Macaca mulatta: one gene and its partners. The protein of the gene in region 1 purifies or fractionates together with the protein of each later gene. This does not show direct contact. Links are inferred from orthologs where the notes say so. Each region holds a gene or a part of one and is shown on either strand. Other genes may lie near its edges.

Region 1 (4,193 bases):
AAGGAAGAATTAAACATCTTTTTTTCTCATTAATATCATATTTGCTTATGCAGCATATTTAGGGATGACGGATAAAATTCAGTCTAGCTGTCCACAGGGTTTGTTTATGAGAACGTCAAAAAATAAAACTTGAAAGGTATCCTGAGTAAAATCTGTAGAAAGCTAATCCTATATTAACATTTAAAAATGGGATTTCATTTCTTATGCCTCTACTCTCAAAAGTCAAAGTTTAAGACTTGAATGAAACTATGGTCTAGGGTAATGTCTGTAGAAGTGTCTTAACTTTATAATGATCAAGAATTTAAAGCTCTTCCAAAATAAAGTACTTGAACTAGTGAGAGCTTCTATTTATTGTATTAAAACATCTACAGACGGAGAATATTGACATTTTCTTTTTAGGTAAAGCAGTACTAAGCGACTTTTCTAAATGCTGTTGAAAGTGCTCCGGGAATACTCTGGCAGAAGGGTTTTAGGAATGGACAAAAAGGAAAACATTTAGAAAAATTTCAGACTGAAATCGTACTTATAGAAGGGCATCACTGTCCTGGCAATCAAATAGCTTTGTATTCTTCATGCCATACTTATGAAGGCAAATCATCTCATGATCAACAATATATCAAAAAGTATACATACACACTTATATAATAAATGCATATACACATCTATATTGTACATGTGTATATATACAAATGCATACACACATCTATCCCTGCTATGGTTAGGGCCCAGTCCATTCTTGTTATCTTGCATGTACAAGAATAACTGTTATTCCTGATTCAGAATCACTAGGAAAAAAAACTAACAAATTCAGTATACTTCGTTTTTAAAGAGGTAATCATCACACACATAAAATTTCTGTTAATGATTTTATCTTGAAGGTAAAGAAAAGATGAAGTACCTGTCAAACTTGTGAACTGGAAGGTTTCCTACAGAATATAAGGATGACTTTTCCTTTTGGAAAAAGATAAAGTTTTGTCTAACTAGCTTTTTTTGCTTTTAATTTAAAGTGTAGCAGAAATCAGCAATAACTCTGCATTGTTCTGCAAGGCTTAGTTTTGATTGAACCTCTTTCTGAAATAAGATAATGCAATTGGAACTTAAGTATTAAACCCCTATTCCTCTAACTGAACCCTCAGGAAAAAAAGAGCTGTATAAACTCCCTTTTGATATAGTAACCTTGAAGAAGGGGATTAAGACTGGGGGGACAGAAGGGAGGAATGACACTATATAAGGTCTGAGCCTTAACAAAGCAGTGTATAGTTGTTAGCGGTAGAGCCATCTGGCTGAGATCCAAAGCTACTGCTTCAACATCTTGAGACAGGGATGATACAATGGATGAAAAATCACTACTTGATGTCACGTCCTTCTTAGATCATGCTAGCTAAATATAATCTGACTTGCAGACAGGCTAGGTAAATTAGGGCCAAACACATTTTAGAAAGTCAAGGTTTTACAAGCAGATGTAAAACATGATTTAGCAATTCAACTATTATTAATCCAAGTGTGTAAGACACTTCATTCCAAGTCAAGTTAGGTTAAATGATATGATGTCAAATCAGTTAAATCAGTTTGTATATTGTTTATGGCCTAAAATCACTGTAAAATGTAAGAAATAAGCAAGTAGGAGTAAGAGGATGAACTACCACAGACATTATTTTAATGTCTATAAAACAAGTAAGCTATTATTCAAGTTAAAATGTTCCTTTCCAAAATATAGTTTAACTTGTAAGTCTATTCTACATGAATATCCACTATTTCTAATTCTCAAATCATAAATAACTAGAACTAATTTGAGGCAACTTTTGAGTAATTTATGCCTTAGAGTGACACTTGTAAATAGACAGCCCACTCCAGCAGCTGCATTTTGTAAATAAAAAGCTTCTTCATTACTTGATTTACACAAATCATATTTCACCCAAAACCTCTACACCCCACACAAGCTACTAATCCCTGCCCGGAACTCAAGGTTTAGACAAAAATTTGATGTTAATAACTTTTCATAGTAATAGGCTCAATTACTTTCCCTCCATTTGTACTCAGATTGTCCCATTATCAGTATTTCTACTTGTTAATACTTTCCAATACCTTCTGTAAAACAAAAAACTAGTTCATTTTATTATTACATATCTTAAGATTAATTTTTAGTAATACAAAGACTGAGAGGAAAGTTTCATTACTTAAAATAGGTATGTAAAGTTTCTCAAGTTAACAATATAATGAATATACTCACTTTTGTGGTTTTTGTATAGAATGGGGAGGAGAGCTGGTGAACGGGCAGGTCCACAATACTACTGGAGTTTGTGACACTGTTACTATGTGTATGTTCATCTTCTCTGCTACTATCATCTGACTGATCAAAATCATCACTCTCCTGGTCCATCTCCTCCTCCTCCTCATCCTCCTCATCTTGTTCACCAGCATGTTCTTCATCTTCCTCTTGTTCTTCTTGGTTTCCTGAGGAGTCCTCATCTACTGAAATAAATCTATTATTGTTTTCTTCCAATTGTCCTTGCTGGGAATCATTTTGGCCTCCAGGTCTAGGTTCTACTCCAACAACTTCACCATTCCTTGCAGTGTGCTCCTCCTCTTGTTGTCTAAGTTGCTGTTGCTGTTCCTCCTCTACCACACGATTCATCTGTTCTTCATCTACCTGGCTTGAGGAAGGGTTACCTCTCAGAGAGCCTCCAGTTCGTCGTCTTTTGCTGCCCACAGAGAGCAGTTCCTGATTCATTTCCAAAAGCCAGCTTGCTACTTCTTGGACCTTGGCTAGACTATCAGAAGATGCAAAGGTTTTCACATTCTGCAGGGGAAAATAGTGGAAAAAACAAGATTTGTACAATCTATATTATGTTCTACTTTCATGTTATATGTCTACATTCTAAATATCATTAATGATTGCAAAAAAGTATTGATGCCACCAAGGCATTAAAATGCTTTTTAGTAAACAATATAGAACATTTCAATTTTAAAAGTTATAAGACTTTATAAAGACATGCACAAAAACCATAGTAAACAACATTAATCGCTTTTAATAATTTTTAGCATAAAGATTTATAGTTTAATTCCTTTGACCAATAAAACATAAGCATATAAAACAATTTCAACTTTACATCAGTAGTTCATAGACTATATCCTATATAAAACTTCCACAAAATTTTAAGAAGTGTATCAAAAAAAAATTTCAGTGTTCAGTTAAATTTGGGAAATGCTGAGGTAAATCAGATTAAAAGGCTTTTTATCCTGGTATTTCCCAAACTTCTCTGATCACAGAATCTTGCCTTCAGACACAGTTTTCAAGCAGGTAACAATTATAATCATTATTATTTTAATTCTTTTACAAATGACTGGACAGAAACAAAAAATTTATTTAAAAAAAAAAGTTCATAAGTTCATACCCTCTGACCCAGTAACTCCACTTCTGGCAATCTATCCTAAGGAAGTAATCCTAAAACAGAAAAAAAAAATTATACAGAGGATGCTCACTGCAGTTTATCCACAAAAGCAAATATAAAGATAAAAATAAATGTAAATAAAAGTAAAAATTCAAATGCTCAATATAAAGGAATCTATGAGATGGGATATATACAGTGTAATCCCTAAACATGACGTTCATAAAACATTTTTTAAAACACGGATGTTATATTATATTACGCTAAGGGGAAAATACTGGAAATAATAATGATTATAATATGATTTTTAAACTGTATGAAGACTAGAAGACAACATTTCAAAATAAACTGCATCTTAGGCAGTGGTATTACAGATGCTTTAAACATTTCTGTTTTTATCATATTTCTCAATTTTTACATATCAAGCATGTTTACCTTTATGTTTTTTAAACCTGGCTCTAGAATTTTATCTGATACAGCATCTTTTCATGATATTTATTCTTACACTTTATCCTTTGTTGGTATCTATATGGACATCTTTGAGGTCAGATAAAATAATGCCAACATATTGTGCACACACAAGAAATTAAGCACCCGTGATCTAAAACTTGAAACTGTTAACAAATGAAGTATTGTCAATTCTAGTCTTTTTCAGAGAAAACCTTTAGTATGATTTACAACAGTGTATGATAAAACACCAACATCAACAAACAGAAGTCCATATCCTAAAATTTGAGGAAGGTCTTTTATTTCTTCTTACCATAATACAAAATGTCAAGATATATCAAATATTTGATATATTCA
Region 2 (3,500 bases), on another chromosome or scaffold:
GAAAAAAGCTATTACAATTGGTTAAGGATTTCCAGTAGTGAGTTAAAATCTCAGGAGAGGAATGGATAGCACTACAAATAATGTGTTCACATTCCAAGACCTTAACACTAACATCTCAAAAAGGAAGTTTTCACTACCTCTAAAAATGAATTCAATGTAATTTTATTAAGAGCAGGAAATCTAGACCTTCCTCTAATGACAATCCAATAATCCACCCTCGCTGTCATCAAAAGTTCAACCCCCAAATTAACAGTAATTAGCCTGAGGTATTATAAATGTGGCTCTACAGTCTGAAATTTAATGGCATCTTTTGTCAAAAATAGTCTTATTTCCACTTTAAGTCTCATGACAATACTATAGTGCTATCCCTGTAGTATTTACTACAATACAGTCATCAAAAATATCTGAAAAAAAATCTTGGACCTTGTGAAATAGTGCATCCATCCACTTCTATAAAAATAGGAGCCACGCAAAGATCTAAAAGAGTGCTGACTGCCCAGATCCAGAACAGAGGTACTTAACCTTTGTTTTCCAGTTTAGTTATCAAAGCGTGGTGTGAACAAAATGCTGAGTGTCACACTGGCGTTACAAATAGGCCCAAAATTTTGAGCTTTTAACAAGATTGAGAAACATTATATGAGATTTAACTCAATATGCCTTAACACATCCATGAGGTAGTTAGGTAAACAGTACTACCCATTTTAATACACAGTAAACAGAAGCATGGGTTTAAGTGACATATTCATACTTTAAGCAGTAAGAATTAGAAGAAACCACAGAAGCTTGGGGCCTTCTCTCTAGCTCTAACCCAAAGAAAATGAATTTAAAAAAAAAAAATGCATCAAATCACTTAAGATTTTCTTTTTTCTCTTTTTACACTTGCTTATTAGTATAGTATCTCATGCCAAAGCTGTTACCCTTTTCTTCAATAATGTGGTAAAAACTGAGTATAACCCTTAATTCAAGGAAGGTCTCTGCTTCTACCTGAATTGGTACAAAATTAAGACATTATCTTGTAAGAACTAAAATTGTATTTGAAATTTTTATTTTAGGCTGCAAAAACAGAAACAAGCAAACAAACAACAAATAACTTGAAAATAGGCTTGTCAAATGATGTAAATTCATCCTTTCCAGGGAAGCAGAAGGTAGACCCTACCACAAAGAAAAGATGCTTAGTTAATAGAGGTTAAATTTAAAAGTACAGGTAAATTCAGGCTAACTTCTGAAAATCCCGTTTTATTCACCTCACTGTGGTACCAGTAACTACACTGAGCCAGGTTACTTTACAGTTAACTATGTCACCTAAAACACAATAATCCACTAACAATCTAATACAGTTATTGGGTGTGGTCATACTGGAAATTCTTAACCATATCGTTGTCTTGCCAATTTTTTTTTTAACGATACATTATCTTAGTATAAGTCACTGCATTTCTGTAACAAAGTAATGAAAGGCACAGCTAATCCAAGCGGACTTAACCCTATTCAACAACCAGCTGAAAAAATACTTTGGTTCTTCAAGGAAAAAATCATGAAAAAAAAAAAAAAAAAAAAGGTATTTCCTTTAACAGTTGTTAATTTTCATAGCTGTACTCCAAGAGCTACATAAAAATATTCCAGAAGAACCAAATTATGTAGCAATGAATGAACATGCGTGACAGAATTTGTGCATTCAACATATCTGGCAGAAAAACTAGCTAAAATGCTAGGTAGAACAAATTGGTCTTTAAAATATCAGTTTCCTGTCCTTTAAAAAAAAATTACCTAGTCTACCAAGAAAATACAAAAACATAAGGCTGTAAGTAAATAAGAGTTGTGTTTAGGCTATTACAGTGCAGGTTATCCTCAAGGCCACATACATCCTGCTTCACTGCTGCTTGCACTCTGCTGGGTTTTGATCCTTCTGTTAAAGGAAAACAAGAAGTCAATCTATCTTCTTCTACCTGCTTCAGTGAATTTCTCAATAGTAATTACTGCCTTAATTATAACAGTAGCTCACTGTTGTCAAAAGAAATGGTATAGGACAATGATGGTAAATTATTTTATTAGCAAGTCACTGAAATGCTAAAATCAAGCTCAAACTTTACACTGTAGAATTAATTCCATAAAATGACACACTAAACCATAATCTTAAAAAATAAAGTTACCAAGCAATTTATGTTAGTTATATTACCAATCAGCTTTGCTTTTGCTAATCCTAATATAACAAATTTTAAGGAATAATAGACAAGGACTCTCAGTGACTGAGTAAGAGTAGTTGGAAGGATCTAACAAACTGCACTGCTCCCCAGTTCCCGAACACTCCTACCACCAGATCTTTTAAAAACCTTTGTTTATTTTCTAATGCTTAAGAACTGTTATAATTTATCCCATTAAAATAGAATCCTAGGGTGCACTGTACCTGAAACTATAAAAAGTACAAAGTCCAAACAAAAAACAACGTTTCTTAGAAAAAGGTCCACTGAAATTATGTGTACTGTTCAAAATGCCAGTGGGACTGAAAAAAGAAAGTTATCCAGTCAGTAGGCTTTACTGATTAAAGACTTTAACGGAGAGAAACTTGATATTCAGAAACACCAACTCTTACTTTAGCTGTCTTAAATTTAATAGAAAGCAGCACTAATTTTGCTCACCTTTGGGTCATAGTCTGGATCATTTTCCTCATCTCCTTCTTCTTCCCCTTCCTATATTAAAGTTCAAAATGCATCCATGAAGTATGTACATAGTAGGTAAATTGGCTCATAATGTAGGGAAAATTTAATACAAGTTACTCTATGGGTCAACAGATTTTCATGATTACAGAGTTTGACGATAATACAATTTAATCTGAAAGCTTCTAATATGAAAAATTTCCCAACACAACTTGAGACATCCAGACAGCTTTTATTGAAAATAGTTACTGCAGCCAACGTTGGAAAAGTTTACTGCAGCTTTTGACTTCTTCAAAGAGCTGATAACCCTGCAGCAGAACAAAATTATTTGAAATAAAAAAATGTTGCTGAGTTTTGCAATTTATTTATTGAAACCTTATACATACATTGTTTGGCTGTAGAATTCTAAAATCATGTTTTCCAAAATGTTTTTATCCCAAATCACAGAATGATTATAGCAAAGGAATACATAAGTCATTCAATTTGCTTCTCAATGTGTTAACCACAGAGAATTATTTGCTCATTTGGTAAACATTACCTCATCCGCTTCTTCACCTTCTTCATCATACTGAAAAGGAAAAACAGCATATGTGTTGAGTGAATGTAACACACATTTCAGAGTAGCATTAGTAACATTCATCACTGTAAAACTAGTGTCTTAAAAGAGAAAACCTACTTTCCTATCAAGAGGCTGATTATAAATTAACACATAGTGGCTGCAATAATCACTCAGCTCACTGCCAATTTATAATAAAGAACAGAGTACAATCATGTGGATAAAATGGGTGATCAGACAAGTATTACTGTAAATATTACTCACCCACACTTAAGTGTGGAATGCACTGTACG
Region 3 (3,500 bases), on another chromosome or scaffold:
CACCCACACAGGTGGGGCCCAGTCAGCTGTTACTCTTCAAACTGCAGTGCAGAAAAAAGGCACATACACCCATCTTGGGTGTCCTCATCAGGGTCAGGAAGGGAAAGAGGACTTTTACGTGTGACTTCTATGTCCTGCCATTAACATGGCCTACCAGAGTTGCATCCTCCCCTTCTCTGATACCTGAGTGTATCCTGGAGGTTGTTGCCTCGTGACAACGAGATGGAACGGAAGAAGCCCTGGACGGCAGGCACCGTGTACATCAGGAGGGTTTTGGACAGATCCTGTTGGAACACACACGTGTTAGTGACACTCTTGCCTCAGCTTTCTCATCTGTAAAATGCGCATAACAGCATACTAATAGTACCTACTTCAAAGGGTGGTTATAACAATTAAATTGGTTAATGCATGAAAAAGCTTTAATCATTACCTGGCACACAGCAAAGACTCAATAAATGGCAACTGTATCATAACTGTTATTATCTGGGGCTGACGGTGGCTTCCTGAACGGGATGGTGGGAGGAGATGGGGCTGAGGCTCTGAACACTCAGATCTCTGGGCCTGCCAGCTGCCCTGGTGCATTCTGAACTGACAGTCCAAGGAGAAGGGGAAGAAGTGGAAGTGGAGAGAAAAAGGCAGAGGATGGATCTCCCAAGCCCCATCCTCAGAGTGGACCTGCAGCTGCGTACAGCCACCCACACACAGGTGCAGCACGTAGAGAATGAGCTCATCCACGGGGAAGCTTGACAAGGAGCTTGTTCTTCAGCGTGGAGGCTGCGTCAGCTCCCCAAACACAAATATCCACACAAAGCCCTGTCTCAGGCAGTGCTGGATGGCAGACAGGCAGTATTTTCCAGCTCCACCTGGCACTTCAGATACAGCCTCAGGTTCCTTTTAAGCTTAACAACAGTTCCATTTCTCAGAGAGCCTGGCACGTTGGTTGGTTGGTAATAAGGAAGAAGGGAAGGGTACCTCAGTGACCTTCTTCTGCAGCGGCGATGGGGTGGGGCTGTTCTCGGTGCTCTCGGCCTCGCTCTCACTGTTGCTGCCCTCGGTGCTGGCGGTGGTGGTGGCAGTAGCAGCCGTGGTGGCGGCAGTGGTGGTGTTGGTGATATTAGCCCCGCTGGCATGACGCAGTTTCTTCTTCTCGTCGCGGGCTTGGTTCTGATGTTTGTAGTGTAGCACAGCTTCGAAGTTCATCACTGCCCACGCGTGCCAGGCCTGGTTGGGGAGAAAGGCAAGGACAGACACTGGAGCTATGACCAACAGCAGGGCTCAGAGGAGTGCAAGGTAAATGCTGAGGAACAGCTGCTCCTGCCTCTTCTCTGTGTCCATAAAGCAAACACTTCAAGGAGACACTCAGAAATGGCTGTTTTACTAAATTCAACATGATCCACTGACTTTGTGGAGCACTAACTATATAATGTACTGCTGTGACTGCACTGCGAGAAGGGCACAGCAAGAGGAGCAGGAGACAGCTCTTGCCTCAAGGGATCTCCTGGCCTTCTAGGGGAGCTCACGCACAAACCTGAAGACCTAGGTACTCTGCAAGGCGCAACGGGAGTAGCAAGGACAGGGATTTGGAAAGCTTTGTCAAGAAGAGGGATTTGGGGTAGGTCTGGAAGAGAGCTGCAGAAGGGCAAGGAAGGAAACAAGAGAGCAGCGGTGGGGACTACTTGGCAAGGGGGAAGATAAGGCCAGAGATGCACAGATTGGTTCACGGGAAATAAGCCCATGGATGTGACTGCGCAGGAGATACACGCAGGCGAGGAGTGAGAGCGAGGCCAGTAAAGCAGGCACGGGGCTGGCACTTTCACCCAGAAAGCAGAGCTGCATTGGATATAAAGTGTACATTTAGGGGAGAGCAGAAGCGGCAAGCAGAAGTGGGGGCAAGCAGCAGTCATCACAATATTTCAGGGGAGCAAAGTCTTGACAGGTCACCAGATAGTGGACAAAGGAAGACATGAAGAGCATAGGAGCATGATGGAGAAAGAATCTCACCCATCTACCTGGTCTCCACACCTAGCCCATGGCCTGACAGAGAACCAGAGCTCAATGCTTGATGGACGAACCCTTGGTGCTTATTCGGATAAAGGAATACTACTGTCTCTCTGGGGTTCTGAGCGGCAGTGACTCTATAGCGTACCACTGCTTGGTTTAGCAAGTGTGAGGCAGAGTTTGCTTCCAGGCACGGTAACTCTGCAGTGACAGTAGGACACTACGTGACCCATTAATAGCTGAACTTTCTGAATAATCAGGAAATTCATTTGTATGCCTTGCCAAAAACCTTGAACACAGGTGTATCCGTTTTCTCATCTAAGCAGAATAGACTGATCACAATTAACCTTTACTTGGTGAGTAAGAATTCTACAATGACCCAGGTTTCAGTTTTTCCATACCTTCATTTATTCCCCGAACATCTCTTGTATATCTGCTATGTGCCTAGCAATGATCTGGGGTCAAGGTGAACCAGACAAACAGTCCTGGCATGCACACAGGGCCATGATGTTGACGGTAGAAGACATTATAAAACTAAAGGGACCCACATTAGGAAATGCTTTTAAAAACTAAAACTAAAGTTCCTGAAACCAGCTTTTTTCTTGTGATTTGCTTACTTCCTAAAAGCTAAATGAAGAAAAGTAACTCTGGTTAGAATGCAATTCTGATTAATAAGCTTCCAGCTAATAGTGTTTACTGGATGTATTTTCCAGCTTTGGACATGCAGCTTTGGACATACAGCTTTGGACATTCATGCAAACCAGAATGAAGCATGTCTAAACAAAGGTAAGATCTGTATTATAAGTGCTTCTGCAGTCCTCAGATGCAAGTTTAGATTTCAGAGGGATTAATTCACAAAGTATTGGCAAACCAAGGAGATACTGGAAAGACATCAATGACATCTGCCACACCTACTTACCAGGAAGCCTCTCAAAAAGAAATGAGAATGTGTGTTCTCACTAAAGATATATACTTGCAAAAATCACCCCTCCATCAATCACATCTTTTAAAAATTTTCTAATTCTGTTTATCTCTTTCAAAAGTTTCCTGTAACATAACAGGATGTTACTTGGATCTTTCCAATAAAAATAAAGAAAGTTAAGTTCTTAGCTGAGGAGCAGGCAAGGATGGAAATCAGAAAAATGCTGAGCAGGAACAGATGACCCAAGGGAAGATGACGCTCCAGAGATTAACCATGTGTCCAGATGCTCCCAGGAAAACAAGCAGCTCAGAATCTATAAGACAGCAGCAATCCCCAGCACCCCACACACCTAATAATGGTGTAACAAGTATTTCTCACAATAATCTTTCTGTATTAATTAAACTTGTAGGGGGAAACGCAGGCTCCCTGGGCCTGTGACTGACAGACTCCAGGGACTCAAGAAGCAAATTAACAGCATCAGCCTAGCTCCACAGAAGCTCAGCTGTAACCACGAGCACACAGGAGGACATGAGCAAGCCAGCCAGGGTGCTGGGTCTCGCAGGCGGCCCTGCTTCTGATC
Region 4 (3,500 bases), on another chromosome or scaffold:
GTTCAATCTTTTTGCAATTAAATATTTGTATTCAGGCCGGGCGCAGTGGCTCACCCCTGTAATACCAGCACTTTGGGAGGCTGAGGTTGGCGGATCACAAGGTCAAGAGATCGAGACCATCCTGGCCAACATGGTGAAACTCTGTCTCTAATAAAAATACAAAAATTAGCTGGGCATGGTGGCGTGCACCTGTAGTCCCAGCTACTAGGGAGGCTGAGGAAGGAGAATTGCTTGAATCTGGGAGGCGGAGGTTGCAGTGAGTCGAGGTCATGCCACTGCACTCCAGCCCGCCAATAGAGCAAGACTCTGTCTCAAAATAAATAAATAAATAAATAAATAAATAAATAAATAAATAAATAAATATTTGTATTCAAATAATATTCTTTTAAGAATAGATATTTTAAAGCAAAGTTTCCCGTTCTAATTTAAATATAAAAGGGGACTGAAATAGAAAAAGGTGTCAATGATTACTACAAGATTTCTAATTTGTAGAACAAGAAAAACTGAGAAAGGAAATACTGTACACTGGCCAGGCTTTTGCTTTGTCTTGGGGTAAGAAGCTCATGACCACCCCCATCTTTTAAAAAATCTATATAGAATGCTTGGAAAAGATAATTTTTGATAAGAAAGACTACTCTGAATTACAAACAGATGCTGCAAACAATTCCTAGGTAATTTTTCATCCAACTATTGTTAAAGTAGAACATGACAAATTAGCCTTTTAAATAAGGCAAGCACTAACATTTGTGTTCAGGAGTTTTTATACTCAGACCAACCAATTCTCTTGTCGTAAGTAGTTTTTCATAGGATTTCCATATTAGCCTATGCATATCTATACAACTAGATAAATTAGGTTGAGACTAACCATAGAATAAGGGCCTGCCTAATCAAACATGACTACATGAAAAATAATCAGGGGAATAAGAACTTCAAACTTCCAAACCATTCCCATTAAGCTTCATTTTAATGAGAATTTAAACTGTGGCTAGGTTTTAGGGTATTTTCTTACCTGTACTTCATTCCAAATGTTTCCATAATGTACGCAATAACAAAGGCTGCACTGAAGAGGGGGAAACAATTTTAGAAAACAACCAGAAAATACAACTCATTAATTAAATGTTACAGAAAGAAAGATTATTTCTAACTTCATACCTTCTGGAGATCCCTGCATTTCCATGCACAAGAACTTTTCCTGAAAAACATGAATTCGTTATTCTAATAGAAAAACACCTGAGTCAGCAGCTGAAATATATTGAAACCAAAGTAACTCCTTCCTTATATACTATAATCGCTTGGATGTTTATTTTCAAATCTTTACAATTTGTTATTATTAGCTGTGTAGAGAATATACCAGACTCTTATTAAAGAAATTGAAAGCTCACAGAGAATTTGAAAACAGTCTACAGGGATACTCCAGAAAGCCTATCGAAATGAAACAAGTAATTGGGAAAATAAAAATTTGGGAGTAAGCTACTACATGTAATTGTAACTTCCATATCCTGCATTTAAGACAAATACCAACTAAAAAATTAACAAATAATCAAAATATAAACATTAGTTAAGGAAAAGAAATATTATTTACCTCCTGTTTGTAAGCTCCCATCAATAAATTCCTTAGTCTGGAGGCAAAAGACATGTGGATTAATGTAAGCATAAAATAAATGCATATAATGAAATAAAATGAAACCTATTGAAAACAATTTCCTAATTTATAGGTATAAAAATTATCTTAATTCACAAATTTCCAAAATGCTACAAATAATTGTCTTGTAGTAGACAAGTCCAAAAAAAAAAAAAAAAGAAGCCAAAATTTAATTTGAATCTAATATATTCACAATATGATTCCTCAAATTTCTGGAGATCATAAAAAATTTTTCTACAAATAATTCATTTTTTTAAAAAACACAATCACATAATTTTCAGTCACAGCAAAGTAAAAGTAGTAAGCTTTACAAGCACAATTAAAGGGGCTGGGTGTGATGGCTCACACCTGAAATCCCAGTACTTTGGGAGGCTGGGGCGGGCGGATCACCTGAGGTCAGGAATTCGAGACCAGCCTGATCAACACAGAGAAACCCCGTCTCTACCAAAAATACAAAATTAGTAGGGCATGGTGGCTCATGCCTGTAATCCCAGCCACTTGGGAGGCTGAGGCAGAAAAATCACTTGAACCCAGGAGGCGGAGGTTGTGATGAGCCAAGATTGTGCCATTGCACTCCAGCCTGGGCAACAAGAGTGAAACTCTGTCTCAAAAAAAACAAGAAAAGAAAAGAAAAGAAAAAAGAAGCAGCACAACTAAGAAGTCAAATCATAAATAAATTTAAATGTTATTTTTTAAAATACTGGTACCTACCATAGGGAAAAAACGTATTATATTTTCAACTGGATTATCTGCGATATCCAGGACTAAATATCTGAAAATAGAGTATTTTGTGATAAGCACACTTTAAGTAAAACGCTTAATGTATTTTAAAAAAATAACTCATTATTTCTTGGTAACCATGACAAGAATGCAAAACAACTTTCAAAGTATCATATTCCCAAGAACTGTGTGGTAGATTTTACATTGCTTGAAGGCATTAAAACTTGAAACACCATGTTAACATCTCTGATATTTTAGTATTTAAAAAAATCCATCAGCCTGGGCACAATGGCTCATGCCTGTAATCCCAGCATTTTGGGAGGCCAAGATGGGAGGATCACTTGAGCCTAGCCTGAGCAACAGAGGGAGACTCCATCTCTAAAAAATATTAAAAAATCGGCTGGGTGTGGTGGTGTGCACCTATAGTCCCAGCTACTCAGGGGGCTGAGGTAGAATTGTGTGAGCCTGGAAGTCAAGGATATAGTAAGCTATGATTGGGCCACTGCACTCCAGCCTGGGCAACAAAGCAAGATTCTTATCTCAAAAATAAATACATATTTTATTGGCATATAATGAACCATCTGGCTAAAACAGAAAAATCACAAGCAGGAAGATACATTCCTCTAGATCAGAGTGGACCTAGAAATAAAGACAAAGGTACCTGTAATCGTTATGTTATTCTTTTATTTCTATCAATTTCTCTAAGACCAGAAGATTGTTCTCTAAGTGGTCCTGTGACCCCTGCTCATAAAACTACAGAGGACATTTCAGAGGAAGTCCAAAGTCTAAAAGAGAAGGAACAAATAAAAACAGAAGGCATGGTCTATGGAACCATGACTCAAACATCCACCGTTTGAACTAATTTTTAGTAAAGCAAAACCAAAAAACAAAACAAAAAAAAAACCAAAAAACCAGCTGAGAGAGCACCTGTCTTGAATTACACTTTACAAAATACTTAAAAATAAGGCATTTTTAATATGTTAGCTTGTTTTATTTTGTAAAAAACTTCCATTTCTAAGCATTCCTAAGATTACCACTGTTTATTAACACAACTATAGGCAATTAGCTAAGTTATTAAACTAGTTTTAAGGACAATTTTGCATTAAAAATTACAGTTCTTCAATGATCAGTTACCCGG

The links. The genes of interacting proteins can lie anywhere in the genome.
Region 2: the proteins of FBXW7 (region 1) and NAP1L1 purify together in Homo sapiens (affinity purification with mass spectrometry, with the first as the bait; 3 studies listed by BioGRID). This does not show direct contact. The link is inferred for Macaca mulatta from reciprocal best matches to the Homo sapiens genes FBXW7 and NAP1L1.
Region 3: the proteins of FBXW7 (region 1) and MTOR purify together in Homo sapiens (affinity purification with western blotting; 9 studies listed by BioGRID and IntAct, with this or other methods). This does not show direct contact. The link is inferred for Macaca mulatta from reciprocal best matches to the Homo sapiens genes FBXW7 and MTOR.
Region 4: the proteins of FBXW7 (region 1) and STYX purify together in Homo sapiens (affinity purification with western blotting; 4 studies listed by BioGRID and IntAct, with this or other methods). This does not show direct contact. The link is inferred for Macaca mulatta from reciprocal best matches to the Homo sapiens genes FBXW7 and STYX.

Annotation. Positions count from the first base shown.
Region 1 is NC_133410.1:161,010,145-161,014,337, forward strand, and holds the start of FBXW7 (F-box/WD repeat-containing protein 7), read right to left. Parts: upstream 2,801-4,193; 5' UTR 2,732-2,800; coding exon 2,231-2,731; intron 1-2,230. UniProt on the Homo sapiens protein: Substrate recognition component of a SCF (SKP1-CUL1-F-box protein) E3 ubiquitin-protein ligase complex which mediates the ubiquitination and subsequent proteasomal degradation of target proteins.
Region 2 is NC_133416.1:83,219,170-83,222,669, forward strand, and holds part of NAP1L1 (nucleosome assembly protein 1-like 1), read right to left. Parts: intron 3,220-3,500; coding exon 3,190-3,219; intron 2,685-3,189; coding exon 2,634-2,684; intron 1,904-2,633; coding exon 1,868-1,903; 3' UTR 1,860-1,867; exon of another isoform or gene 1,832-1,859; intron 1,153-1,831; 3' UTR 1-1,152. UniProt on the Homo sapiens protein: Histone chaperone that plays a role in the nuclear import of H2A-H2B and nucleosome assembly.
Region 3 is NC_133406.1:229,593,037-229,596,536, reverse strand, and holds part of MTOR (serine/threonine-protein kinase mTOR), read right to left. Parts: intron 1,222-3,500; coding exon 973-1,221; intron 285-972; coding exon 184-284; intron 1-183. UniProt on the Homo sapiens protein: Serine/threonine protein kinase which is a central regulator of cellular metabolism, growth and survival in response to hormones, growth factors, nutrients, energy and stress signals.
Region 4 is NC_133412.1:125,885,497-125,888,996, reverse strand, and holds part of STYX (serine/threonine/tyrosine-interacting protein), read right to left. Parts: intron 2,415-3,500; coding exon 2,354-2,414; intron 1,620-2,353; coding exon 1,583-1,619; intron 1,193-1,582; coding exon 1,153-1,192; intron 1,061-1,152; coding exon 1,010-1,060; intron 1-1,009. UniProt on the Homo sapiens protein: Catalytically inactive phosphatase. Acts as a nuclear anchor for MAPK1/MAPK3 (ERK1/ERK2). Modulates cell-fate decisions and cell migration by spatiotemporal regulation of MAPK1/MAPK3 (ERK1/ERK2).